4 linked regions of the Saccharomyces cerevisiae S288C genome follow. The gene in region 4 interacts genetically with the main gene of each other region. Each region holds a gene or a part of one and is shown on either strand. Other genes may lie near its edges. The genes, in order: RRM3, CTF8, SWI6 and CLB5.

The links.
Region 1: mutations in CLB5 (region 4) and RRM3 together harm fitness more than expected from each alone (negative genetic interaction), as found in Saccharomyces cerevisiae (5 studies listed by BioGRID, with this or other methods).
Region 2: mutations in CLB5 (region 4) and CTF8 together harm fitness more than expected from each alone (negative genetic interaction), as found in Saccharomyces cerevisiae (5 studies listed by BioGRID, with this or other methods).
Region 3: mutations in CLB5 (region 4) and SWI6 together harm fitness more than expected from each alone (negative genetic interaction), as found in Saccharomyces cerevisiae (5 studies listed by BioGRID, with this or other methods).

What each region holds. Positions count from the first base shown.
Region 1 is NC_001140.6:170,299-179,435, reverse strand, and holds RRM3 (DNA helicase), read left to right. Parts: upstream 1-6,465; coding exon 6,466-8,637; downstream 8,638-9,137. Other genes in the region: GTPase-activating protein NEL1, read right to left, coding at 1-1,217; PIH1 (Pih1p), read left to right, coding at 1,437-2,471; YHR033W (putative glutamate 5-kinase), read right to left, coding at 2,617-3,888; ERC1 (Erc1p), read right to left, coding at 4,347-6,092; mitogen-activated serine/threonine-protein kinase SLT2, read left to right, coding at 9,092-9,137. UniProt on the Saccharomyces cerevisiae protein: 5' to 3' DNA replicative helicase recruited to paused replisomes to promote fork progression throughout nonhistone protein-DNA complexes, naturally occurring impediments that are encountered in each S phase where replication forks pauses.
Region 2 is NC_001140.6:484,867-488,321, forward strand, and holds CTF8 (Ctf8p), read right to left. Parts: upstream 1,766-3,455; coding exon 1,364-1,765; downstream 1-1,363. Other genes in the region: ERG9 (bifunctional farnesyl-diphosphate farnesyltransferase/squalene synthase), read left to right, coding at 1-1,313; LNP1 (Lnp1p), read left to right, coding at 1,960-2,796; EGD2 (Egd2p), read right to left, coding at 2,846-3,370. UniProt on the Saccharomyces cerevisiae protein: Essential for the fidelity of chromosome transmission. Required for the DNA replication block checkpoint.
Region 3 is NC_001144.5:514,242-523,383, reverse strand, and holds SWI6 (transcriptional regulator SWI6), read right to left. Parts: upstream 5,445-9,142; coding exon 3,033-5,444; downstream 1-3,032. Other genes in the region: 60S ribosomal protein eL37 RPL37A, read right to left, coding at 96-355, 715-721; TOS4 (Tos4p), read left to right, coding at 1,372-2,841; VTA1 (Vta1p), read left to right, coding at 5,714-6,706; methionine adenosyltransferase SAM1, read right to left, coding at 6,974-8,122; YLR179C (uncharacterized protein), read left to right, coding at 8,671-9,142. UniProt on the Saccharomyces cerevisiae protein: Part of a complex involved in cell-cycle-dependent transcription. SWI4 and SWI6 are required for formation of the cell-cycle box factor-DNA complex. The repeated element in the upstream region of HO (5'-CACGAAAA-3') is called the cell cycle box (CCB).
Region 4 is NC_001148.4:769,350-777,518, reverse strand, and holds CLB5 (B-type cyclin CLB5), read left to right. Parts: upstream 1-2,336; coding exon 2,337-3,644; downstream 3,645-8,169. Other genes in the region: B-type cyclin CLB2, read right to left, coding at 4,391-5,866. UniProt on the Saccharomyces cerevisiae protein: Required for efficient progression through S phase and possibly for the normal progression through meiosis. Interacts with CDC28.

The sequences.
Region 1 (9,137 bases), on a different chromosome or scaffold from region 4:
AAGAGGGTTTCAATTCTTATGTATTTTTCCGTTTGATTTTCAAAAGTGGTTTGAAACTGTATAGGAGCTTCAGCTGAATTGTGACCTAGTGAGATTTCTAATGGTAGAGAAAGGTTTTTAGGGTTTAAGCTATATTTTGGGAAGTCCTTAACGACAATAGCGTTCTTTGCGGTCATTATCTTTGAATGACAATTGTAAATGGCATTATGGTCACGCAAGTTCAGGTACTTTTGAAAAGACATTGCGAATCTCTCATCATTGAATGAATCAAACTGAGAAACTGCCATTGACGAAGTTATTAATGGACTCATTTCGAGTATACCGATTTGATCCAATGAAGCTATAAAGAATTCATAGATTAACGATTGGTTTGCAAATTTTTCAAGCATTTTCTTGTAAAATTTTGTCGGACTTTTTGATAGTTGCAATTGTGAACTTTTGGATTCAAAATGGTGGTTTTGTCTCATGCTTTCACCACGTTCTCTTGACATAACTTTGCCGCCACCCTTAGTACATGGACCATTCAGGAATGAAACTATATGACAGTAGGCTGACAAACTGCACTGAGACGCCAGTACGGATGAAACGAACAGCGCTAATCCGGTGCAACGCTTGTCCCTTTTAGAACTGATATTCACTTTGTTTGCAATCTTGCATATTTCCCGTAGCAATTTTCTTAAAGAACCCTGAGTAGATTTATCAAACCAGTATGATTCTTGATTGATTTCTGAAATTTTTTTCTCGAAGTAACTGGCATTTAATTTATCAAGATTATATTTGGTCATAAATTCATTTATTGAAAATACAGCATCACGTCTGTGATTCACAGCATTGTGTAAAATCACATGACCTGATTGCTGAATAGTAATTATTGATAGTGGCTCTTGTTGTCTTGTGATGTAATTATTACATAGAATGGAAACTAAATAATTTAGCTCATGAGGATCGCAAATAGCGTCTATAATCATAATGGTCCGTCTTGAAAGTATTTCTTTCTTTGCAGAAGTCAATGTATAGGTGTTGGAAGGTACCAGTGGCAATTCAGCATTTGAGTTTGATTGGTTGCAGAATAGACAAGTCCAAACATTCTGTTCTCGTAGGGAACAAGCCATCGAATAATAGGCGCCACATTTGGTGCATTTTAGATTTTGGTCATAGTTCTGCGTCACAGCATCGCTGGAAAAGGGCTCATATAAGAAATTAGTTGGAGAACACATAGGCACTTCCTTGGCCAAATTTGGTGCTAGATTGCAGTATTGTACAAATACAGGATTCAGTACCTGATCACTATTTTTACTCTTGATATTTTTTTTCCTTAAAAAAAATCAGAAGACAATAATGATAGAAAAAAACTAGGAATTCTTGAATTCATATGCATGGAAGAAAAAGGAATACAGGGAACAGACTTTTCAAAGCGAACAAACAGACCTTAACCGATGGCCGATTTCTTATTGAGACCAATTAAGCAACGTCATAGAAACGAGGACAAGTACGTGTCGGTGGACGCTGCAGACGGATCGGTGTCTAAAATTGAGCCCATCGCAGATTTTGTAATTAAGACAAAACTATTATCCGCTAATGGGCCGGAAAAACTGCAAGATGGCAGGAAGGTGTTCATCAATGTTTGTCACTCTCCGTTAGTGCCCAAACCTGAGGTCGATTTTAATGCAAGGATAGTGTTCCCGCTCATCATCCAAAACGAATGGGAGATTCCTATTATTACATCCTGCTACCGCATGGACCATGACAAGAAGGGGCAGGAGTGCTATGTGTGGGATTGCTGCATAAATAGCGATTGCTCGCGCTGGATATGCGATGATATCCAACTGCGAGAGATACTGGTCGAATGGTGCTTGGAGTCATGTGAGATCCGAGATTCGGTGGTATTGTGCAGAGATCGCATTGCATTCCCCAAGATGAAGAAGAAGGGCGCTGAGCTTCCTGCACTAGAGGTATTGAATGATGAGTTACATCAAGATTACAAGGCAAAAATGCATAAAATCATAGAAGAGGAGGCCGGAGACCCGATGAGTATATTGAGAGGAAGGAATGACGATGGCGATGATAATAATGATCCCGACGATGGAACACTACCACCATTGTTCCCTATCGAGAACAAAATCTCCGGAGCCAAGATAGAGGAGATTGATAAGAACGAGATTGCTCACAGAAACCTGAAACAGGCACCTGCACCTGCACCTGCACCGCACGAGCAGCAGGAGGACGTGCCGGAATACGAGGTAAAGATGAAGAGGTTCAAAGGGGCCGCCTACAAGCTGCGAATTCTTATTGAGAACAAAGCTCCGAACTCGAAGCCGGACCGGTTCTCTCCGAGCTACAACTTCGCAGAGAATATTTTATACATTAACGGTAAGCTGAGCATACCTTTGCCGCGCGACATAGTCGTGAATGCAGCAGATATCAAGATTTTCCATATCCGCAAAGAACGCACACTATATATATATATATAAACTAACATTTCGAGTATTCTTTTGGTTTTTGTTGTGACTAATACGAACGAATATATAAAAGCGGGAAAAAGGAGAGAGATATGATGTGCATCTATAACAGAATTTTTTTTTTTTTTTTTAATCCGGTAAAAAAAAGGGAATATTCTCAAAATTGCGGAGGGAAAGCGATGTTTTCTCTATGTGCTACGTATTCACTCACACTGTAGCCCAAAACATCGTGAATCTTCTCACTGGGTAAGCCCTTGATCTTCGCAAGCTCCAGACTCGTATAATTGGAGCGGACGCATCCAACAGACTGAATCGGCTTCGAGATATCCAATTCGCCATTGGGTAACCGCTGGCCTATTTTGAGATCAACGCATTCAAGTTCGTGGAAGTTGTCTCGGACTTCGATCACGGCGTTTGGAGTCAGACTAGCCATATCCTTTGACAAAAGTTTATCATAGCTGTTCTCGTCGATGATAATGGCGCCCTTGGTAATGAGCCCGTGCAGAATCCAAAATTCCCTGTTCTTAAGCTTGTGTTTGTTGTCATTAGCTAAGAACTTGGTGTGCATGGGAACATCGTAGCGACGCAACTGTTCGAGCTCCGTATCCTGAAGATCGAGAAACTGCTGCTGTGTGCCGTTTCCGATATGGCGCGGAGGGCGGAAGTGATGCTGAATGTAGTCAACGATCTTCGGGACGTACTCTGGACGGTCGCTCTTCATCACAATAGTCTCGATACCGGCATTAGAGGCGAGGTCGGCGGCTATGAGTTTGGTGCGCATTCCGCCCGTGCCAACCTCGGAGCCTGAACCACTGGAAGTGTTGACGCCCGGAAGGCCCTCTGATAGCTCTGGCACGAGAACAATAGGACGAGCATCCGGATTAGTGCGCGGATTGTCTGTATATAGGCAGTCCACATCTGTGAGCAAGAACAGGAAATCCGCCCCTACAAGAGCAGCGGTAATGGCAGAAAGCGTGTCGTTATCGCCGAACTCGATCTCGCTAATGGATAGCGTATCGTTTTCGTTGACTATAGGGATGACACCCATGGCCAGCAGTTCGTTGATTGTATTGCGTGCGTTATTGTACTGGTTCCAACGCAGTATATCGTTACGCGTGAGCAGGATCTGCGCTGTTTGCTCGCCATACTGGGAAAACAGCATGTTCCAGCGCGCGATGAGACGGCCTTGTCCGACAGCGGCAATCGCTTGCACTTCAGACAACTGCTTAGGCTTGTGCGGAATGTTGAGAGCGTCCAAACCAACGGCAATGCCGCCGCTGGATACGATGATCACTTTGTGGCCCATGCGCTTAAGATTCGTCACGGTCTCGACGATTAACGTCATGATGGACAACTTTGGCTCTTTTGTGCTCTCGTCGACGAGCGACGAACTGCCCAGCTTGATAACGATAGTATAAGCTTTTGTCATTACACCCTTCGATATGCCTTTTCTCTTCCTTTTGACGAACAAAATCAAAAACAAAAAAAGTGGTAATGAATAATCATATGCACGATGCACACTCTATATATATATAAATGAATGTATGCACGAATGTGTATGTGTATGCATACATAAAAGCACATGAAGGGCAGCAAACTTTTTCAAATGCAAAAATGCATGCCCGTTTGGTGCCGTACGGGCACGTGTATTATTTTGCCGGTGGCATGCCACATGGCGAAACCCTTAAAATTACCAACATAATTGGCTAGAAGACTGGGTGTGATGCGGGGGTGGGGGTGTGCATCTCCCCTATACGTCATTCGACCCTGAAGGAGTTTCATGATGTATGGGTCTCAGCATTGCGCTTGCGTGCCGCTCCGAGAATACGGCGTCTATCACCATGAAAAACGGCGTATCCTTGACACACACTCATCATTACCAACGCGCTAGTTATACCCAACCATAAGCCGCCTACACCCAGATGATACAGGAATGCTAACACATATGCCATGGGCACACCTAGGCAGTAGAATGCGACTAGGTTGATGTACCCACCTATTTTTTTGTCTCCCTTGACCACGTAGGCATCCGGCGGTGGACGCATTAAAGGCATCGAATAATTGCATGAACGCAAGAAGAGGTAGTGTGTCCACGACCATCTTCACTACAGCGCTCTCAGTAGAAAATAGACTTGCGATTTGTTCCTTATAACGGCAGATAACGAACATGTTCATTGAGGAGCACACAAAGGACAACAATAAGGACACGCGGCACGTGATCATGCAGCTGTCGTATAGCGACGCGCCGATAAAATTGGCTACACGTGTACTGGTAGAAACGGAGATAGAGAAAGGCACTTGGTATGCAAGAGACGCAATCGTAGCCACAATCGACTGAGCGCCCAAGGCATCGGTGCCCAGATGGGAAGCGAAAATTGTCAACACTTCAAAGCCGAGGAACTCTGCCTCCACCATCACCACGCCGGGAATAGCTAGGTTAATCATCTTACGCCAGTTCTTAAATGCTTGTTCCTTAGGGATGATACCATTCCAGCATTTGAGTGGTCTCTCCTTGTGCTTGGTGGTCATTGCGTATATTAGTAATCCGAGCGTCATCAACCAGTAGTTGATCACAACCGATAATGGCGCACCAAGGTACCCAATCCCAATCTTGTCATTCCAAACAAGTAAGTAGTTCATCAATGCGTTCAAGGGTGCGCACACAAAGAGCACGATTGTGGATGCATGGAATATACCTTGACATTGTAGGAACCTCTTACCACATTCAAAAAGGATGAATCCTGGCACACCGAATGCGGTTACACGTAGATAGTTAGCCGCTAGCGCGCATAGTTCTCTCTCCGGAATCATTAGTGCTAGGATCTTTTCCGACCAAACAAACCAAACATACATCATTGGCAAGAACGCCAAGATGGTGATCACAGCACATCTCTGCACTAGCACACCCACCAAGTGGTAGTTTTTGGCACCGTATGCCTGCGCACACAGTGTGTCCAGACATGTACACAGACCTTGAATAGCAGCAAGACCCGTGATGTTAGCAGTCATAGAACCGAGTGTAACACCACCTAGCTCTTTCGTCCCTAAATGTGAGACGGAGAAAATAGATGCTAGTGACAACGAATTTTGCAAGATAAAGGTGAAGATTAGCGGCAACGCATTCATCGTGATCACTTGCGTTTCTCTCTTAAAAGTTGTGCTGATTTTCTGACCACTCTCGATCGCGCTCTCCCACGTATTTGCAATCTCAGCTGGTCTTTCTTCCTCGTCCGGTCCAATTGCTTGGCCATGTCCGTGACTTTCTATATCTCCCCCACCGTTGCCGTGTTGAGAGAGCAGTTTGTTGTCTATTAGCAGGTCCCGTTCTTCGTCAAGCAACCGCTTACGGTCGTGAGAGTCATAACCTTGTTGCCACGCTTCTTGTTGCAATGTCCGCGAATTGTTGGCATCTAACAACGAATGGTATTCACCTTCCCTCTCCGTCTCATCGTCATTGCCGGTATAGGAAGGTTCTTCTTCACTACCCTCTTGCTCTTCGCCCTCAATTAAGTTTTCTTCTGACTCCTGTGGGATGTAGTCTGCAGGCGTGAAAAGCCCTGCCTTCCCGACACTGGTGGAGTAGATAATCGATGATCTTCTGTCGTTGGTGGTATGACTAAATTGTTTAGACATAGTCTTCTTTCGTCTTCTTCTTCTATCTTCTTCACCGCTAACACAGACCCTTGACAAATCTGAAAAAGTACTTTTTAAGCCGGTCTATCTTCCCTTACCGGATTTATTTCTTTTGCCAGGGTTCTTTACTATTTTGTAGTTATCATAAATTTTTTTTTTCTTTTTAAGTTGCCGTGCTCTTCTATTTTTTTAGTCTTTTTTTTTTTTATTATTTTTTTTTTTTTCATTTTCCCTATAACGGGGCTAACCCGAATGCGCATGCATTATTCCGATATTATTACGTCAAAGAATATGTAAATAAACATCATCTCGAACAATAAGCAGAGGAGAACAAGCTCAAAAGTCGAGAGATTTGTTCTTATAAGACATCCCGATGTTCAGGTCGCATGCCTCCGGTAACAAGAAGCAATGGTCTAAAAGATCCTCAAATGGTAGCACACCTGCTGCTTCGGCATCTGGCTCTCACGCATACAGGCAACAAACGTTGTCTTCGTTCTTTATGGGTTGCGGCAAAAAATCTGCTGCTGCTTCAAAAAACAGCACGACAATAATTGATTTGGAAAGCGGTGACGAAGGTAACCGTAATATAACAGCACCTCCTAGGCCAAGATTAATACGGAATAATTCGTCTTCCTTATTCTCGCAGAGTCAAGGTTCGTTTGGAGATGATGATCCCGACGCAGAATTCAAAAAATTGGTAGATGTGCCGAGACTCAATAGCTATAAAAAGTCTAGCAGATCGCTGTCGATGACCAGCTCTCTTCATAAGACTGCCTCTGCGTCCACGACTCAGAAAACATACCATTTTGATGAGGATGAGACTTTGCGAGAGGTTACTAGCGTGAAATCCAATTCTAGACAATTATCGTTCACTAGTACAATTAATATTGAAGATTCTAGCATGAAACTTTCTACTGATTCAGAAAGACCAGCCAAGAGGTCTAAACCTTCTATGGAGTTTCAAGGTTTAAAGCTCACAGTACCAAAGAAAATAAAACCACTGCTAAGAAAGACAGTATCAAATATGGACTCAATGAACCACCGAAGTGCGTCTTCGCCAGTGGTACTTACAATGGAGCAAGAGAGAGTGGTTAATTTAATCGTCAAAAAAAGAACAAATGTCTTTTACACCGGTAGTGCGGGTACAGGTAAGTCGGTCATTTTGCAAACGATCATAAGACAATTGAGCTCTTTGTATGGGAAAGAATCAATTGCAATTACCGCCTCAACTGGGCTAGCGGCAGTGACTATTGGTGGTTCCACATTGCATAAGTGGTCTGGTATAGGAATCGGGAACAAAACTATCGACCAATTGGTGAAAAAAATACAATCACAAAAGGACTTATTGGCCGCATGGAGGTATACAAAAGTTTTGATAATTGATGAAATTTCTATGGTCGATGGTAATCTGTTGGATAAATTAGAGCAAATCGCAAGGAGAATTCGGAAGAACGACGATCCCTTTGGTGGTATTCAATTGGTCCTGACAGGCGATTTTTTTCAACTACCACCAGTTGCTAAGAAGGACGAGCATAACGTTGTGAAATTTTGTTTTGAAAGTGAAATGTGGAAACGGTGCATTCAAAAAACGATTTTACTGACAAAGGTTTTCAGACAACAGGATAACAAACTAATTGATATTCTAAATGCCATAAGATACGGAGAGCTGACTGTCGACATTGCTAAAACAATAAGGAACCTAAATAGGGATATAGACTATGCCGATGGAATTGCTCCTACAGAACTGTATGCCACAAGAAGAGAAGTTGAACTATCCAACGTAAAGAAATTACAGTCTCTACCTGGTGATTTATATGAGTTTAAAGCTGTAGATAACGCGCCCGAGAGATACCAAGCGATACTAGATTCTTCATTAATGGTGGAAAAAGTTGTCGCATTGAAGGAAGATGCACAGGTAATGATGTTGAAAAATAAGCCTGATGTAGAATTAGTTAATGGATCATTGGGAAAAGTTTTGTTTTTTGTTACAGAATCGCTGGTGGTGAAAATGAAGGAAATTTACAAGATTGTGGATGACGAAGTTGTCATGGACATGAGATTAGTGAGTCGGGTCATTGGTAATCCCTTGTTAAAGGAATCAAAGGAGTTTCGTCAAGATTTGAATGCCAGGCCATTAGCTAGATTGGAACGTTTGAAAATCTTGATAAACTATGCAGTTAAGATCTCTCCGCATAAGGAAAAATTCCCCTATGTGAGGTGGACAGTGGGTAAAAACAAGTACATACATGAGCTCATGGTCCCAGAGCGCTTTCCCATTGATATTCCCAGAGAAAATGTCGGGTTAGAAAGAACTCAGATTCCATTAATGCTATGCTGGGCACTGTCCATTCATAAGGCACAGGGTCAAACTATTCAAAGACTAAAGGTCGACTTGAGGAGAATTTTCGAAGCCGGCCAAGTTTATGTTGCACTGTCAAGAGCGGTAACTATGGACACCTTACAGGTCCTAAACTTTGATCCAGGAAAGATTCGCACCAATGAAAGAGTAAAAGATTTCTATAAACGTTTAGAAACTTTGAAATGACTTGCAACGAATAAATGCATATACTCTAGTTGAAGTTTTCTTTTCTTGTTCTATACAGGTTCGAATACTTGTGAGCCTATCTGTATAATTTAACAGAATCCCGAAATATTCATCTAGAAGCCATCTATTTAGCTAAGCCTACGTATGCGGCGATTTTTATATTATCTTTTTTTTTTTTTATAGAAGACTGCGAAATGTTGGCAGAATGGAAAGTTTCAGTGTTAAAAATAGAAACTGAAAAAGGAGATCTAGCCAGGAATATATCGAAAAAAAAAGTGAGGGAAATCAGATCCTACACAAATATTTAGATTTAATTGAAGACCCTGGTCTGCCAGATATATATATATATTAGACGAACTGTGCATTCAGTCAGCAAATCTAGGCCACAGATTTTCTTATTGAAGCTATCAAAATAGTAGAAATAATTGAAGGGCGTGTATAACAATTCTGGGAGATGGCTGATAAGATAGAGAGGCATACTTTCAAGGTCTTCAATCAAG
Region 2 (3,455 bases), on a different chromosome or scaffold from region 4:
CATTGCATCCGGTCGAGATGAAGGCAGCTTTGAAGCTGAAGTTTTGCAGAACACCGCTATTCTCCATCTATGATCAGTCCACGTCTCCATATCTCTTGCACTGTTTCGAACTGTTGAACTTGACCTCCAGATCGTTTGCTGCTGTGATCAGAGAGCTGCATCCAGAATTGAGAAACTGTGTTACTCTCTTTTATTTGATTTTAAGGGCTTTGGATACCATCGAAGACGATATGTCCATCGAACACGATTTGAAAATTGACTTGTTGCGTCACTTCCACGAGAAATTGTTGTTAACTAAATGGAGTTTCGACGGAAATGCCCCCGATGTGAAGGACAGAGCCGTTTTGACAGATTTCGAATCGATTCTTATTGAATTCCACAAATTGAAACCAGAATATCAAGAAGTCATCAAGGAGATCACCGAGAAAATGGGTAATGGTATGGCCGACTACATCTTAGATGAAAATTACAACTTGAATGGGTTGCAAACCGTCCACGACTACGACGTGTACTGTCACTACGTAGCTGGTTTGGTCGGTGATGGTTTGACCCGTTTGATTGTCATTGCCAAGTTTGCCAACGAATCTTTGTATTCTAATGAGCAATTGTATGAAAGCATGGGTCTTTTCCTACAAAAAACCAACATCATCAGAGATTACAATGAAGATTTGGTCGATGGTAGATCCTTCTGGCCCAAGGAAATCTGGTCACAATACGCTCCTCAGTTGAAGGACTTCATGAAACCTGAAAACGAACAACTGGGGTTGGACTGTATAAACCACCTCGTCTTAAACGCATTGAGTCATGTTATCGATGTGTTGACTTATTTGGCCGGTATCCACGAGCAATCCACTTTCCAATTTTGTGCCATTCCCCAAGTTATGGCCATTGCAACCTTGGCTTTGGTATTCAACAACCGTGAAGTGCTACATGGCAATGTAAAGATTCGTAAGGGTACTACCTGCTATTTAATTTTGAAATCAAGGACTTTGCGTGGCTGTGTCGAGATTTTTGACTATTACTTACGTGATATCAAATCTAAATTGGCTGTGCAAGATCCAAATTTCTTAAAATTGAACATTCAAATCTCCAAGATCGAACAGTTTATGGAAGAAATGTACCAGGATAAATTACCTCCTAACGTGAAGCCAAATGAAACTCCAATTTTCTTGAAAGTTAAAGAAAGATCCAGATACGATGATGAATTGGTTCCAACCCAACAAGAAGAAGAGTACAAGTTCAATATGGTTTTATCTATCATCTTGTCCGTTCTTCTTGGGTTTTATTATATATACACTTTACACAGAGCGTGAAGTCTGCGCCAAATAACATAAACAAACAACTCCGAACAATAACTAAGTACTTACATAATAGGTAGAGGCCTATCCTTAAAGATAACCTTATATTTCATTACATCAACTAATTCGACCTTATTATCTTTCGAATTGAAATGCATTATACCCATCGGTACGTCTAGCTTTGTCACCTTCCCCAGTAAACGCTGTTTCTTGCCGACAAACAATGTGGCCCTCTCTCCGTCAATCTGTAACGACCCAAATCGTATTAAAGTTTCGCCGTCCTGTTCACTGAACCTTCCCTCATTTGGAGAATCTCTCCTCGCCAGCGACGCAAAGTCCTTAGGCAACTCTAGTTCACCTTGAATCTCCAGCATCATCATCCCAAGCGGTGTTATCACCGTGGTCTGCTTTTCTCTTGACTGTGTCAACTTCTGCCATTGACTAGCATCTATATCTACACTAGGCATTCTTTTCAGCTGTTTATTGGGCTGAATGATAGTGATAATTCTTTTTTCTATCACTCCTTTGGCTATATTAGTGGTTAGCTTACTAAAAAAGATTAAAGGAAAAATGAAATTCAAGATGCTAACGTTGACATGTATATTTTAAGAAAACAAAAATCATACAAAGAGGAGATCGGATATAAAAGAATAACATAAATATGTTTAGTGCATTAGGTAAATGGGTCCGAGGCTCTCGCAATGATAAGGACTTTGTGACGAAGTATACCGCAGATTTATCACAAATAACTTCACAGATCCATCAATTAGATGTCGCGTTAAAGAAAAGCCAATCCATCTTGAGTCAATGGCAATCAAATCTGACCTTTTATGGTATTGCGTTAACGGTATTGGCCCTGAGCTACACATATTGGGAGTACCATGGTTATCGACCATACCTTGTGGTGACTGCGCTACTATGCATAGGCTCGCTAATCTTGTTCAAATGGGCATTAACCAAACTCTATGCATTTTATAACAACAATAGGTTACGCAAGTTGGCAAAACTCCGTGCAATTCATCAAAAGAAACTGGAAAAGTTAAAGGAAGAGACCCACTATAATGCTACAAGCTCAATCATCCAACGGTTTTCTTCCGGTGAAGATCAAAACGACGATGCCATGGTACTTCTAGATGATGAATTAAATGCTAAATACCAAGAATTAAACAATCTAAAGACAGAGCTAGAAAAATTTAAGAAGGAAAGCCATGTAAAGGGCCTAAAGAAGGAAGACAGCGATGCATGGTTCGACAAAATCATCAGCGTACTGGCAGGCGGTAATGAATTGGACTCAACAAGTTCGCTCTCTCCCTTCAAAAAAATCATATGTCCACAGTGTCATTGGAAATCCAATTGCTACAGATTGGCCAGTAAGCCAATCATCTTTATCTGTCCTCACTGTAACCACAAAATAGACGAAGTAAAGGAAAGAGAAGACGCCATTGAAGCAAAACAACCGGCACAGCCTTCGCAGTCGGAGAAGGAAAAAACAAAATGATTTTGCGTTAGAATAACTACGTACCCCTATATAATATATTTTTATATCATTATTTAGACAAGGACATGATAGCGTTGACTAAGTCACCATTGTGAGCTTTCAGGGCTTTGATGGCTTGGTTTTTGGAAACGTTAGTTTGTTGAACGACTAACTCGATATCATCCTTATTCAAGTCACCGGCATCAACTTCACCTTCTTCGTCATCTTCTTCTGCTGCGGCGTTGACACTGCCTTCTGCGGCGGCTTGCATGTCAGCTTGGATGTCTTCTGGGGACTTGGTAGCGACGTCTTCGTTAGATGGCATAATACCGCTAGCTTGAGCTTGTTGTTGAGCAGCGGCTAGCTTTTGGGTAAAGTTGTCAACCTTAGCTTCACCGAAGACAACGTAGTTACCACCGGCAGATCTGAAGACTTCTGGCTTTTCAATAGCATAGATTTGGTTGTCCTTCTTCCTGAAAGTGACTCTGATGATACCTGGGATTTGCTTCAAACCCAATTTGCCAATCAATTCTCTGGCTTTCTTTTCGTTCTTGTTTAAGACGGTAACGTTGGCGTTTTCTGGGATAGCAGACATTATCAATTGAGTATGTGGGTGTGTGGTTGCTTGTAAGGGTTGCTCCCAGAAGGAGACTTTACCTTAGTTCTTGTTTAAAATAATC
Region 3 (9,142 bases), on a different chromosome or scaffold from region 4:
TAACTAATTGTTTAGAAGTTTTTTTGCAGTTGGTTATTATATAAGGTCTCTAATTATTGAGTTTTCATTTAAAGAAATAGATCTTAGTATAAAAATTAAGCAGAAGCCTTAGAAGCAGAGCCGGTTTGGAAACCGTTCTTGAATCTTCTTGAAACGTGTTTCAAGTATCTCATTCTACCAGTACCAGTAGTGTGTCTTCTCTTAGCCTTGGCACCCCAGTTGTAAGATCTGGTCTTAGCAGCTGGATAACCACAGGAGGAACAGGTCTTCTTTTGAACATGGAAAGAACGACGACCACATCTGTTACACAAAGTGTGGGACTTGTTGTGACGTTTACCGAATGAAGGAGTACCCTCTATTTAAAAAGAAAATCAAATTGTTGTGCAATTTGGTTAAGTTTGTTAGTACAATTTGCTTTATCTTATAGTTACACTTTTTTCGTGACTGTTACAACGCCATTGAAATTGATCCTTTCGAGTTCCCTCAGGCATACAAGCAGAATATTTCTTCTATACGGTAAATTTGTTGTCATGCGCATGTCTTTCGTTCACTATTCTGTCTTCATACAAGTATACCAGTCTCGTATCGTCCAGTCTTGCTAAGTATAAATTTGGTGTGCATGCGTTCCGATATTTCTCTTCAGATAATCATAACATTTCTCCACGGTCGTCAATAACAGGTTCACAGTTTTATTCTCAATGTCCTACTACATACTACCCATTTTTGTCTATATTATTTGTATGAGGCTTTAGCAAATACCTCTTAAAAGTAAACATTTTTGAAATTTAATAGTACCCTCATATAGAGCATTTCTCATTCTTACACTTGTAATATTGACGGTGATGAGAAAGCTACCAGGAGAACATCAACGTTTGGAGGAGACAGACCGACGGACCACACTTCACCAGTATGGCATCGCCCTGCCTACCATCAGCCTAGAGAACGGGCAGACGGATTGACTTCCCTTTCCCCAAGGGGCCGCCTTCTTGTTGCCGGCCTGCCGAAGTGTGTTTTAGAATTTCTTCGAAAGAGAATAGTCTCGACAACGTTTTGTCTTGGAAAACCTTTTGTGTACGGATGTTTAGTTAATAATAATGTACAGATGTTAATATGGTTTTTTTTTTTTGATATGAAAACGCCAAAACGCGAAAAAAAAATCCCGTGGCCCTTTTTTCTTAAGTTCATCTCTATGGTTTGCTTTCGTGTTTTGATGAGAATGAACAGCGGCAGTCGACGTAAACTAAAATTCATCAATGGAAACTCTTTCTCTACTTTCATTCATTTAGAATTGAATTATAGCAATCTACTTTACGTACAAAAGTCCATATACATCTGCCACGACACATCAAAGATTAATAATCACAAGAAGGCATGAGCTCGCAATTTCCTTCGTCCCCCTACAGGACAGTGGATCCGTACTCTCCACCAAATTACAAACAGCAGCCTAATTGTCCCTCATCCAATTATGAGAAAGCTGGTAAAACTGCGTCAGAATCAATTGGAAATTTCGGGAAAGGAGATTATCCAACTCCATTTCCTTCTTCCAGTATAGGAAGGGTTTCGTCTCCCGTTAGGTCGAATAAGGTTGACGCCATCCCTTCCTCTCCAGCTTTTCCTGGCCAGTTGGCAGAAACGTCACCCAAGTTTTCTTCCAAACTTTCTTCTCCTTCAAGGCATACTAGAGTCATCAATGCTGAACTAGATCCTAGCAAGATCAGCACCATTACTGTAGGGCGCAATAGTTCGCAATGTGATGTTGCGCTCTGTAAGAATAAGTTCATATCCAGAGTACACGCTAGTATAACTTATTTACCACAAACAAATGAAGTGAAGATTCACTGCTTCAGTATGAACGGATTAATCGTTACCTATCGTAAGCAATTTGATTGTTATCAATTAAAGGATACCATGAATAACAATAATAGGGCATATAGGCTTGTTCCCAGATTCTCTAACGAAAAATGTGTTAAAGAAATTCAAGACGAGGGAGGATTCATTAATTTCACTCTGGAAGAGGGAGACACCGTTTATATGACATATTACAAGGGTATCATGTTGGATTTTAGGCAGGTTTTACTTCGCATTTCGTTAAAAGAAAAAAACTCTTCTTCAGAGCCGTTAAGATTCGAGAAGAAAGCTGAATTTGAAAGTGAAAGTGAAACGAAACATATGGGTAGTATAAGGAAGCATCCATTGATTTTTACTGACACTTCGATGGACAGACCCAAAAAAATACTTAAGGATAGCAACAAAATCTCAATTGGTAGTGATTCTGGCGTTGCAGAAAGGATGCTAAACCACTTCCTAAATTCTAAATCGTCCCCACTTTCATCCGTCTCCTCTGTTGATCACGAGGAACAAACCCTGAGACAAGATTCACTATCATCTGATAAAAATCCTATGACTATGAAGAAACCAAAACTTAACAAGAGGGTCTTACCTTCAAAGCCAAAAAAATCGGTGAAAGAGAATTTGGATGAGCTATCTAGAAGAAATATTGATGTTATGCATCTACAGCATATTTTAACCAATCACCTAGCTTTTGCAAACGTCCAGCAGACGCCATTATTCCAATTACAGCAGGTGAACTCACAAATTTCTGAGCTTTCAAGAGATGAATTACGTTCGATTTTGAGCGACGCGAAATGTGTCGGTGTCATTTACCGTCATGGTAAGGACGCCGCCGGCAAACCATTGGACGAAGAGTATTTCTACGATTTAGAAAACGATGATGATTACGAGAGAAGAAACTTGGTGAGTTCATTAAAAGGTGGAAGGACAGGCTTAAGATCTTGTAGAAGGACACATAAACAATATTTTTGGAAAAAGCCAGCAAAATAGAACATTTTATTCCATCGGATATATGATAAGAACAAGAAAATAAAACATCAAGTGCCTATATATCCCATCTGAGTACGTAAAAATTTTGTAAGAATACAGTTATGTAGTAAAATAAAAGTAAATAAAGCGCTAAAACAAAAAAATAACTTCAAATAAAGTCATAAAAGTTAATGCAATGAAATCACATGCCCTCATGAAGCATGCTTTTTTAAAAAATCTTGCATTTCGTCAGTGTCAATGTCTTGTGGGTCTTCAGAAGATATGGCCTGTAACAAACCATCAAGCATATTGTCAACTTTATTTTCGTCGATTTTCAAACATAAAGATAACACTCTTCTAAATTTATTCTCTAATTCTGATTGTTTGGTGCTGATTGTATCCAATACATTGGTTAGGTGTTTATCATTCCGCTTGTATGCATTTATTCTTGCCTTCAATAAGACCGTTGGTGGAAGCATCGATTGGATTTTTTCTGCGGGAAGTTGATTTCGTATCTGTTCCATTATCTGCTCTTTCGACTCCGCTTCTAATAGTTTGGAAATATCGCCTTCATAATTCTTTTGTAATTTATCCTCCAAGAAATCTGAAAGGAACTCTACTTTGAAGGGTTCATCTGCATCATATTCGCTAGAGTCCCAATCAATACCTGAACTTTCATCTGCAATTATTCCTAGCTTTTTGCTCTCTTCCCTAAAACTTTCCTCTTCTTCTTCAATTCCTGCTTTTAAATTGGTCAATTGCTCTTGCATTAGTGAGTATTCATCTTTCAATTGCTTCACATTTGCTAGTTGTTCTCTAGAATTAGCTAATTCTTCTCGCTGTTCGTTCAATTCCTTGTGTAGTTTTTCTAATTTCTCATTATATTGCACTGTTTCATTCTCATAATCTTTCGAGATTGAATTCAGTAAATTTTGGACATCATTAATTAACGAAGTTGTTTCAGGTGGGTTTTTCAACAGTTGAGACCTTATTTTTTTGGCCTTTCCATTTTTTTGACCGTCGTAATCACCCTTAGAGACCATCTTCGAGTTTTCGTCACCGCCGTTCGTATTTTGTAATTTTGAAGTACCTGCCCCAAAATCCACGGGTCTCAACCCTGATTTGTTTGCAATAAATGGGTCAGCACCGTAATCTAATAAAGCGTCTACTATTGAAATGTTTCCCAATCTTGCTGCAATGTTCAAGCAAGTATCGCCATTAGAGTCCTGCGCATTGAGCATGTTTGCTATTATCCATTTCAGGTCCAAATTTTCTAGTATAGAGTCCTTTCTTTCCCCATTTTTGTCATTCGGTTTGCTTTCTTTTTCGTTAGTACCACTTTGAATGGGTCTATTTTGTTTCTTGACAATCCATCCCATTAAAATATCTAAATAATATTTCGCAGCTGCTGAACAGCCAGTCATACCAGACGTAATAATGATATGGTGCAAAATTGTTCTATTCATTGAGTCTTCCAAAATTAAACATGGATATAAATAATCTAGAAGTGCCTCAAAAGTACCAGAGTCGTAATTATTTACTGATTTGACAGCTTTCACTAGGCATGACTCCCCCATATTATCACCATATAATCTGTTTGAACCATGCTTAACCAGGTGTTTCACTAATTCCAGGTTTGCTATTGAAGTCAGCCAATGTAATGGTGTGTTTCCATGCTCATCTACAGGAATATTAAGATTTAATTGAGTATTAGGAAAAGCGTCGTTTACCTCTTGCAAAAGGCTATCAAATGATACGTGCTGTTGTTGTTGGTTTGAGCTCCCCCCTTCTGAATTTCTATTACTGCTGTCATTATTAAGGGATGTAGGCATTTCTTGAATTTCTGGAAATAACAACCGTTGTAAGAATGCCTCTAGTTTCATCTTCTGTTCATTATCATTTACAACTGGAGAAGGTAGTGCTTTCATGATTTTCAGTGGACTGCTTAAAAAGTCAGAAGTTAGGTCATGAGTGAATGTTATGATAGGTCCAGCGGTTCTGTCATTGTCATCAGTGCCATTATTTTCATTGTCGCCGCTAGGGCCCTTATTAATATCATCGTTAGGCTTGCCTCTGGCAGTATTCGGAGTGGAGTCACTCTCAGCATCTATTACAGAGGTATCTATTTTTAGTTTTTTTAAAGGAGAGCCTAATTCTCTGTGTGCATCAGAATCCAGGCTCATATCTTGTAAATTATTAATCCTCTTTGAGCTGATATTATCCTTAGAATTTTCACTTTTGGTCTTGTTTTCTGGTAGTTTCGAATGGCTGGGATCTTCTTCATCCTGATCTGTTTCAGGCTCCTCAAATTCGAATGCATCCTGGAACAAACCGAATAAATTTAGCATGTTTAATAATTGTAAACATTTTTCCAGCTCTATCCATAACTCACCTCGGTCGTCTGTATTTACAGCAATTCCATAATGTGCCAGTAATTTATTTCTTTCCTCATCAGTGGGGAAACTATCGGGGTTGGTCTCGTTAATATTCCCCGTGTCATGATATTGCTGCAAAATGGGCAGAAAATGTTTCAGGAGGAAATGGCCAGTCTCCGAGTCTCTAGTGAGTGTCAAAGGGATCTCATTGTGAGGTCCTAAGTATCGTACCACTTCTTCCAACGCCATCCTCTCGAGAATTATACTGTGTTCCCCTTTATTATTCTTTTTTTTTTAGCTATTGCTTAGTTCATATTGATGTTTCTCAATCGTGTTTTTTGTTGTTTTTTTTTATTATTATGAAATCGTTGGAGAAGGAAACTAAAAAAAAAAACTAAGATTTGGTGAATGATCTTATCCAAACGGTCCAGATGAAGACAAAAAAAGGAACAATAAGCTTTCTTATTTTATTTGATTCAATTTTTAGAAACTAATTGTCCACATTTTAAATAAATTCTATGGCTAGTAACGCTGCAAGGGTTGTCGCTACAGCGAAGGATTTTGACAAAGTTGGGTTAGGGATCATCGGATACTATCTTCAGTTATATGCGGTGGAATTGATACTGAGTGAAGAAGATCGGTCGCAAGAGATGACCGCACTAGCGACAGAACTTCTTGATACTATTGAAGCGTTTAAGAAGGAGATTGGCGGCGAGAGTGAAGCAGAAGACAGTGACAAAAGCTTACACGTTATGAACACGCTAATACATGATCAAGAAAAAGCCAAAATTTATATGCTAAATTTTACAATGTCGTTGTATAACGAGAAACTGAAACAGCTAAAAGATGGTCCCTGGGATGTTATGTTAAAAAGATCACTTTGGTGTTGTATTGATTTATTTTCATGCATTTTACACCTGTGGAAGGAAAATATAAGTGAAACGAGTACAAATTCATTACAAAAACGAATTAAGTATTGCAAAATTTATTTGAGTAAATTGGCAAAGGGTGAAATTGGTTCCAGCGACGAGAAAACGTTAGATTATGCAGATTTTGCGGATGATAGCGAGGAGATTAAGGATGAAGATGTTGATCACCAGACAAGCGATTTGGAAAACAATAATAATGATAAAGTCGAAGGCCTAGCCCCAAAAGACCAAACAACATCATACGAGCCTGTGGATGAGGTACCTGAATTTATTGATGATGCCGATAGCGTAAACGAAGAAGAACAGACCGTCGACAAGAACGAAGATGCAATAACAAAAGACGAACAACAAGTTGTGAAGAAAGAAGTGGATCTTACGCGCCCTTCTGCACCATCAGAACCTGCTGCAGCAGAGCATAAATCGTATACAAAGGATGAGTTGACAAAAATTATGGACAGGGCCAGTAAAATAGAGCAAATTCAAAAACTTGCCAAATACGCCATAAGCGCATTGAATTATGAAGACCTGCCCACCGCCAAAGATGAGTTAACTAAGGCGTTGGATCTGTTAAATTCTATTTGAATAAGATAAAGTTTGGTTTGTTGATCCGTTGAAGGAGGTATATATTAATATTAGTAGTTACGTATTAAATGTTAGAAAGGAAAAGGAATCCTGTATAATGCAAAATGAAATCGATACAAATTTGATTTGAGAAAAATGAGTCTATATCAAGAATATGATGGTATTGCGTCCCTGCATCAAATACGGTATAATGTACATGTTGACTTGTGTTGAGCAAATGAAAACATGGGAGGTTGAAGGCAGAAAAAAGTCCAAAAGGAAAAAAGCTTAGAACTTCAAAGTCTTAGGCTTTTCCCATGGGTATTCTTGGTTTGTGAAATGGCCATAAGAAGCGGTTGGCAAGTAGATTGGTCTAGCTAAGTCCAACTCCTTGACCAATACACCAGGTCTCAAGTCAAAGTTCTTGCTGATAATGTCGATAATTTCTTCGTCAGACTTGGTCGCAGTACCATAGGTGTCAACGTGCAAGGACAATGGTTCCGCAATACCGATGGCATAAGAAAATTGAACTTGAACTCTCTTACATAAACCAGCGGCAACTAGGGACTTGGCAACCCATCTAGCGGCATAAGCGGCAGAACGATCAACCTTAGAGTAGTCCTTACCGGAGAAGGCACCACCACCGACGGATGAGGCACCACCGTAAGCGTCGACGATGATCTTTCTACCGGTCAAACCAGCGTCACCTTGAGGACCACCGATGACGAATCTACCGGAAGGTTGGATAAAGTATTTGGTGTTTTCGTCCAACATGTCTCTTGGGATGACTTTTTCAATGATCTCGGACTTTAGTTGCGCTCTTAAGTCCTCGGTCGTGATTTCGTCAGCATGTTGAGCGGAGACGACGACGGTGTCGATTCTTTGTGGAACCCATCTACCGTGGTCATCCTTGTATTCGACGGTGACTTGAGTCTTGGTGTCTGGTCTCAACCACGCTAAAGAGCCATCTCTTCTCGCGTCAGCCATGGCCATGTTTAGTTTATGAGCCAAAAGAATAGTCAAAGGCAAACCCTCTGGAGTTTCATCTGTGGCGTAACCAAACATGATACCTTGGTCACCGGCACCGATGTCTTCCAAATCCTTCTCCTCGTGGACACCTTGGGCGATATCTGGAGATTGTTGCTCAATGGCGACAAGGACGTTACAGGTCTTATAGTCGAAACCCTTGGCGGAATCATCGTAACCAATCTTCTTGATGGTGTCTCTGACGATTTTTTGGTAATCCAACTGTGCCTTGGTAGTAATTTCACCAAAGACCATAATCATACCAGTCTTTGCCGCGGTTTCACACGCAACTTTGGAGTGAGGGTCCTCGGCTAAACAAGCGTCCAAGATGGCGTCGGAAACTTGGTCACAGATCTTATCTGGGTGACCTTCACCAACGGATTCAGAAGTGAATAAAAATGTACCGGCCATATTTTCGTTTATCTTATTTTTTCTTGTTTTTAGGGTAAATTCCTGGTTTTTACTCTATTTTTTTTTCGAAGCTAACCGAAAAACAACGATGAATAACAGACAACACCAGTCGATATATACGTCCCAAACCAATCCCATTAAGTACTAAACGGAAAACTTTTTACTCTTCCCTTTTTCATCGATACCAGAGTGAAAAACTACGATGAGGCTAAAATTTCCTCGAGACAAGAACCCGAAAAAAGAAATGCACTAGTAGGCAAGGGCGCCACCACAGTTTTCCTGTGAAAAAAAAAAAAGAAAGTATTCGTGTGTAGTGATATATAACTTTATCTTCAAATTCTATTTCCGTCTTACGTCCGTTTCGGTACCTTTTTTTCAAAAGATCTTGCCTGACATTTTTTTGAACAATATAAAAGTGCCAAGCGTGCTCATTATTGGAAGTGCGCACCAGGTGAGGAATTGAATGTTGCCATCAATTGTTTGAGTAAACACTGCCCATCTGCCACTTTCGGTACCCATCCGAGTACTTAGTAATAGAAATATATATTATGTCTAGTGCCATCGTTGCTAAACTGAACAAAGAGGACATCATTAAGGACACCGTCAAGGACTTGGCGTTCGAGATTCTTGGTGAGTTGTCGGTTTCGTACGTTGATTCTGACGACATCAAATTGGGCAATCCCATGCCAATGGAAGCTACGCAAGCCGCTCCTACCATCAAGTTCACGCCCTTCGATAAAAGCCAATTGTCAGCCGAGGATAAACTCGCTTTGTTGATGACTGACCCGGACGCGCCCTCTAGAACAGAACATAAGTGGTCGGAGGTTTGTCACTACATCATCACTGATATTCCTGTCGAGTACGGACCTGGGGGAGATATTGCCATTTCGGGGAAGGGTGTCGTGAGAAATAACTATATTGGGCCTGGTCCACCAAAGAACTCCGGTTATCACAGATACGTGTTCTTCCTGTGCAAGCAACCCAAGGGAGCGGATTCGTCCACTTTTACCAAGGTTGAGA
Region 4 (8,169 bases):
AAACAAAGGTGTTAACTATTCTGCATACTCACTATCGTAAACTGTCCTGCAAATCGTGTAAATATGTATTTCATTTTTTTTGCAGTGAAAAAAGGCATGTAAAATACCGCATCAAGTAACTCTACTCCGCCTGTGGTTTCAAGACTAACGGCTTGAGACAAAATGGGAAGAAATGATTGCAGAAAAGCCATATGTGTAATAGCAAAAAGCTGGATAGTGCTTACCAGATGTTTACCTTAATTTCTTGGTGAATTAGAGAAGTACAGAAGTTTTACTATTAATCCCACCATAGAAATTTGTATAGGAAAGTAGTTTATTGGAGTTATTGGATATACTGTGTAAACTATTTCTTGAAATTGTAATCTTAAGATGCTCTTCTTATTCTATTAAAAATAGAAAATGATTTTCATATTTATTTATTTATTTATATTTTGGCATTACTCTTCATCATTTTTTTCCCTCTAAGAAGCTTCCTTTCTTTTTATAAGGATAACAAAACCAAAAGGAATATTGGGTCAGATGAATGGACGCGAATGCAAGACAGAAGTCCAAATCACGTCAAGACAAAGAAAGAAAGAAAGAAAAACTAACACATTAATGTAGTTTTAAAATTTCAAATCCGAACAACAGAGCATAGGGTTTCGCAAACAAACTTAAATATATGCTAGAATAAAAATTAACTATCATCTATTGACTAGTATTCATATATGACGTAATAAAATGAAATGTAGATTCATTTTGTAGATTCCTATATCCTCAGAGAGAATTTTTGGTATATCCTATATGCATAATATTATAGTCTTTGCCAACAATCGAAACCAAACATATATCTTAAAATACACCACTTTCTCAAATAAATTCGTTAAATAACGGTGTGTTGAAATGTTTACCGTAACTTGTAACAGCTCTAACAACTCATACCTGCTATGTACTGATTCCAAGAAAAAAAAAATGGAAGGTCGGGATGAGCATATACAAGCACTAAGAAGAACAATACAGAACTCTACACGGTATTATTGTGCTACAAGCTCGAGTAAAACCGAGTGTTTTGACGATACTAACGTTGTTAAGAAAGTAACTTGTTATCAAACTCATTACCAACTTGTGATTAATTGGTGAATAATATGATAATTGTCGAAATTCCATTGTTGGTAAAGCCTATAATATTATGTATACAGATTATACTAGAAATTCTCTCGAGAATATAAGAATCCCCAAAATTGAATCGGTATTTCTACATACTAATATTACCATTACTTCTCCTTTCGTTTTATATGTTTCATTCCTATTACATTATCGATCTTTGCATTTCAGCTTCCATTATATTTGATGTCTGTTTTATGTCCCCACGTTACACCGCATGTGACAGTATACTAGTAACATGAGTGCTACCGAATAGATGACATTTTAGACTTTCATTCCAACAACTTGGTTGACAGAATGTTACGTACCCTATATCTAATCTATATGAGGCCTGAATCTAACTGAAAGGTGGAATTTCAGTAATTTATCAAGCTTTAATAAGTTTGGGTAGTTTAACTGTGCAAAAAGGTATTTACCTTACATACTGAATCTTGTCTGTTTGGTAGCGGCTGCTTTATGGGTGTTTCATAGATGTCCAAAATATATTGAGATATTGAGATATAACATTCTAGGATAATCAAAATTACCATAATTCAAAAGCTCGTATGGCGCAGTGGTAGCGCAGCAGATTGCAAATCTGTTGGTCCTTAGTTCGATCCTGAGTGCGAGCTTTCTTTTTTAGACTACTAATTTTATTTTGCTAGTCATTTTTTTTTTATACTCAAAAAGTAAAAAGACTACGAGTATATTCAAAGTAAAAAACGAACGTCAAACTATCTCGATTAAAACTTGTCATACTGTGGGTATCATATTCTGTGCCCTCAGTGAAAAGAACCAGCAAAAGAACGCGCATCTCGAGTGAAGACGCGCCCTTGATGGTACAAAATTTAACGGGAAGGCGCGTCGTGATGTTCACGCGCTTTGCCCACATTGGGATAGCGCCCACAGCATATCTGTGCTAAACTCACTTTTCCTAGTGACTGCCGATAGCTACTGCCATCTACCGCGAAGGGAACTTCATTTGCGTTCATCGGTTTATTAGAAGCTACTTGGAACTAATTCTTAAGCTTCTCAAGAAAAGTTTTTTTTCTGTCTATCTATTGAAGTCTTTTTGTCTTTGTACTTCAAGAGACTCAATCACCTAAAGCTTTTCACGGCCAATTAGTTGTCTCACACAAAGCAAAATAAGCTTAATAATTAGCAGTAACGCGCTTTTCCCTGTATTTAAAGCCGCTGAACACCTTTACTGAACAATGGGAGAGAACCACGACCATGAGCAGAGTATTAAAAGAAATTCTATGATTTATAATGAAAATGAGAGGCAGTTGTGCAATTCAAACCTAAAGATTCTTCAAAATAAAAGGGCCCTTTCAAAAAATGACAGCTCTAGTAAGCAGCAGGTTCAGGATTCTAAACCAAGAAGGGCTTTAACAGATGTACCAGTGAACAATAATCCTTTAAGCCAGAACAAGAGAATAGTAGCAGGGAGCAAGGCGGCCAAAGTACGAAGAGAAGAAAACATTAGACCTATTGTTAGCGCCGTTCAAAAAAGACAGATATATAACGATCGAACGGCAGCAGAGCAAGAAGAAGAAGAAGAAGAAGAAGGAGAAGATGATGATGCTGCTTCGATAGTGAACAAAAAACGCAGAATAGACGCTGAAGGAGTGAGTGAAATAGTAGGCTGGCAGGACCTAGATTATGTTGAAAAAGATGATACTGCAATGGTAGCAGAATATTCTGCTGAAATTTTTGCATTTTTATATAGAAGAGAATTAGAAACGTTACCATCGCACAACTATTTACTCGACAAAACGTCCAAGTATTATTTGAGGCCTTCCATGAGAACAATATTAGTGGATTGGCTGGTAGAGGTGCACGAAAAATTTCAATGCTATCCGGAAACGTTATTCCTATCCATAAACTTAATGGATAGATTTTTAGCTAAAAATAAAGTTACGATGAACAAGTTACAATTATTGGCAGTTACCTCACTTTTCATCGCGGCAAAATTTGAAGAGGTAAATTTGCCCAAACTAGCTGAATACGCTTATATCACTGACGGCGCGGCTTCTAAAAACGACATAAAAAATGCGGAAATGTTCATGCTCACTTCCTTAGAATTCAACATTGGTTGGCCCAACCCACTCAATTTCCTAAGGAGGATCTCCAAGGCAGATGATTACGATCCGGTTAATAGAAATATTGGTAAGTTTATTTTAGAGTATGCCTACTGCTGCCACCAATTCATTCATTTACCTCCATCTACCGTAAGCGCAATGGCAATGTATATAGCGAGAAGAATGACCAACAGAAACAAGAACGAGCTATGGAATGGAACACTACAGCATTACAGTGGTGGTATCGATCCAATACACGATGAAGCGTTTCAGTCTCTCTGCATTGATCTAGTCAAAGACATCGCTAGTTCCAAAACTCATTTAGATTCATTGATTTTGAAGTACAAGAAACCAAGGTATGGCTCTGTTTATTTCCAAACTTTCAAGTGGTGTACATCCGAAATGCATAGCAACTTTCAAAATCTATTTAATCTTAAGTAGATTAGTACTAGTAATGCTCATGAATTCGCATACTCTTTACATTTTCTTTTCTTTTTGCTGAACTAAAAGGAAAAAATTTTTTGCATCTATCTATCTATCTATATATATGTATATATAGTTTATAGTGATATGCGTGTTCACTTCAACATATATAATACCACCAGTATTACTACTATTATCATCATTAATATTAGAATTTTTTTTGTTTTTAAATTTATTCTTTTATTTTTATTATTATTATTATCATTATTACTATTAAAAAATTATTATTATTAATGTTATTCCAATGTTAATTATAATAACTATACTGAAATAATTTTAAAAGAAATGAAAAATGAGAAGAAAGCAGCATTTTTTAAGAGACTAAGGTTATGATATTTCCCATAATATCAACATCCGATACTGATGCTTTTCTTTGTCTACCCTCGCTACATGCATCCGGAAACGGTTGAACTGAAATAGAATAAAACTTATGGTACAAATCTGAAATTAAAATTAAAAAATTAAAATTAATGGTGTGGTGTTATTAGTGAGAATAAAAATGGAGTTTTATTTTGGAAATCTTAGGCTTCGAATGATTTTTTATCGTCAGTTTAAAAATAACAGAATGAAAGGCGCTAAAATTGGGTGTGAAATTTGTAAGAATAAATGGAAATGTGAAAAGAAATGATTAAAAAGCAGCCATACATTTTATATGGACATTTATCGATTATCGTTTTAGATATTTTAAGCATCTGCCCCTCTTCTCATTCATGCAAGGTCATTATATCATAGCCGTTTTTTCTAACCTTTAAAGCCCATTGGACGGAAATTATAGAAGCTTTCATAAATCTTCTAGATTGATATTTTCTATGAAATTCATCATGAACAATTGGACTCACTAGATAATCCATTATCATGTGACACACGGGCGCAAGTTCTTCTTTAGTATACCCGCCGCTATAGTGTATTAGATTTCCATCCCATTTACCTTTACCTAACATTTTTCTCGACATAAACATCGCAGCTGCTGCACACAATGAGGGTAGTATCCCAATAAATCTGAAATCTACCAATGATATCTCTAATAAGAATTTGGCAAGAGTTCGAGACTGTATATCGTAGTCATCTGCTTTCGAAATTCTTCTCAGAAAATTCATCGGATTGGGATAATTTAGGTTAAATTTCAATGTCTTTAAAATGAATTTCTCCCCTTCTTTGATTTCATCTTCCGTACATGCACCGTCTGTCTCTGATGCGAAATGTTTTATACTAGGAGAATAGACCTCTTCATATTTAGAGGCAATGAAAAGGCATGATGTGCCAACCAATTGTAACTTATCCAGTTGAACTAGCTCTTTACCTAAAAACCTGTCCATTATGTTAATGGCAAGATACAAAGTCTCCGGTAATAAGCCGAATTTATTATGGATTTTAACCAACCAATTAACTAGGATATCTCGATTTTGATGAATATTTCTATGCTGATAGAGATCTTCCTTCTTTGGAAGAGTAATGACCTCTAGTTGGTGGAGATATTCGAATATATCATTGACGTACTCGCTGACCATGAATGGATCATTTACATCTTCTGCATCTAGGTCTTCCCATTCATATTCTTCTTTGCCATTTTCATCGCACACTTTAAACTTTTTGGGCAGTTCTTGTTCAACAATTGTAGAAATTGGTCTTTTTTTTCCACTATCAGTTTCACTTTCGGTATTTCTAACTTGAAGTTGACTTCTAGCTGGATGAAGTTTTTCGTTTTCTACCGAGTTATGGACTACCTCAGTGCTTGATCCAACGCCTTTTAGGGGATCATGCTGGATTATCTCCTTCGCTGAGGAGGATTCTTGTAAACTTATATTTGCAGGCAGCTCAGCTCTCCCCTCCTTTATAGAAGTTAGCGCACCAAATTGCTGACTACTTGGGTCTTGGTTTTCTTTATCATCTAAAAGATTGTTTTTGGGGAGTTGGATACCATTTTCTTTCAGGGTTCTTTTCTCCTCTTGTGCGGCTGTTGATCTTGATACGCTTTCTCTAGTAAATTGAGGAATCCGACTTCCCTCCTTCTTTACTGAGTTTAGTGTAGATTTGAAATTTGTTAGGGCTGGATTATTCGCATTACTCTTTTGAAATGTCGTATTTGTTACATTGTTTAAGGCCAACCTTTGTACATTCCTCAAAAACCTTGATGAACTAGTATTCTGTGAGTTTTCTGTGTTTTCTATTGGGTTGGACATCTATAAGATCAATGAAGAGAGAGAGGGGGTAATCAATAAAAGGCTTCTTGGAAGGAAATAGCAAGTTATAAAAAAACTTCTGACAAACGAGCGAATGAAGTTTTTATACAATGATTAAAATTTCTCCAATGTCGTTAAAAGAATCTAAAAGGACAAAAATACAAAAGGAAAACAGATGCTCAATCAAAGAACCGCTTCAACAGATATTCTATGTCAATTTATTGAATAGCTCGCAGTAGGTTTTTATTATACACTGGCTCAATCAAAAAGAAAGAAAAAAAGAAAGAATAAATAACCAGTATCCTTTAGCTATATTTCTTTCGCTTTTCAGAAGTATCAATTCGAGAATACTTTACTTCTTGAGGTATAGGACAAAATTAATACCAGAAAGATTCAATTTTAGTAAATTTTTGGATCTTTTCAAAAGTCTAGCTAAATTGGCAAAAAATTAACCTAAAAAAAATCTATTTTATTATATTTTGATTTTTTTTCCTTTCTAAATTTTTGAGAAAGGATCTATTTCTCTTTTCCCCAAAGAGGTTATATTTTCCATTAAGAGCAAAATTTCTGAAACTCTATGCCCATGCTATGAGATGCTAGCTGTAACGAGTTTGCTATTTCCTCGAGGGACAGGCACCGAAGTTCATCCATATCGCGAACTTCGTTGTTGACCTTTTCCTGATTCGGTCGCTATATTTACAAATCTCCTTTTTTGATTAGTGCCTTGAACTTGCACTTTCCTAAACGGGCTCAATATGTAAACATATTATACAAATAGTTACCCGCATTTGGAATAAAATCTGTCTTTTGGCGGCTATTTCCGCGTGTTTGATTAGAAGGAGTAGTGGTCATTCTAATAATTCCACTGTGCTAATGCACTCGCACTTAATTTTTAAACTTCCGATGCATCAACACTAATGATCATAGCATAAAACGCGTAGAAGGCGATCTTAAGTTTGAGTCCCCCTAAGGCACCTTAGTAGACGGTCAAGAACAGGGTGTGAATATGGGCGATATTCAAGCGAGATTAGGACTTATAAAACAACAACAACAGGGATAACAAAACACTTGACCCCTATTTTTGTAATAAAACCGTTTTCAAGGTAAGGCAGTTAGTAATTTATGTACAACAGAAATTTCTGCCATTTCTTTCACGACAATAACGTAGGATAAGGCCATGAAAAACAAAAATACTAAAGTGCTTATCTAATAAAAGGAAAGGATTAAGCAGTTCCTGCCCATATTTTGGAAAGGCCGTAGCTTAGTTTCCCTGAAATTTACTTCAAGAAAGGTCTGCTTAGCAGTCACATATGTCAATTGTGGGCTGTTTAGTCAAAACCACTTGGAGGTTGATGAATTGATAGTATTTTGGTAAATGAACTAAATATACATTATCAATAAGACGTTGGAGGGGCTTTCTGTATAAATTCACCGAACACTCCCAAATTATGATAAACTTGCTTAAGCATCTTTTCGAAATGCAGTGCATGTGTTAAGTGACAAGCTAAAGGTAAGACATTACGATAATACTCTGTATAGATCGTAGTAACATGAATTATGAAGCATATAAAAATAATATGAAATGTTCATCGAATTTAATAAGTATAAATGCATGAAGATAATAATTCAATAAGATAGATAAACAAAAACGCATGAAGAGAACTTGTAGAACAATAAGCATATATCACCACTCCACTTTTTCTGAAAATTGTGTAGAAATGTAAATTCTGTGATGTTCGTTATGATTCAGTTTCTGTTTCTCAATCTCTATGTCATACTCTTACGCTATATGATAACACACTAGTAGTAGGAAAACTGGTCAAGAGATGATTGTTGTTTCTTTTCCCAACTCATACACCCCAAACAAATGCCTTTATCAAAATCCGATCTCAACACTTATCTTAGTTTACACATTTATCAAATAAGGTTGGCAATGTACCTTTTTCGGAAGGTAAACATCAAATATTTATAGAAATATTTATTAAGGACGCTCTGTTGTATTACGGGCTCGAGTAATACCGGAGTGTCTTGACAATCCTAATATAAACAGTCTTAGGGAAGTAACCAGTTGTTAAAACAGTTTATCAGATTAATTCACGGAATGTTACTTATCTTATATACTATATAAAATATGAATCATACTAAGTGGTGGAAACGCGGAATCTCGGATCTAAACTAATTGTTCAGGCATTTATACTTTTGGGTAGTTCAGCTAGGGAAGGACGGGTTTTGTCTCATGTTGTTCGTTTTGTTATAAGGTTGTTTCATATGTGTTTTATGAACGTTCAGGATGACGTATTGTC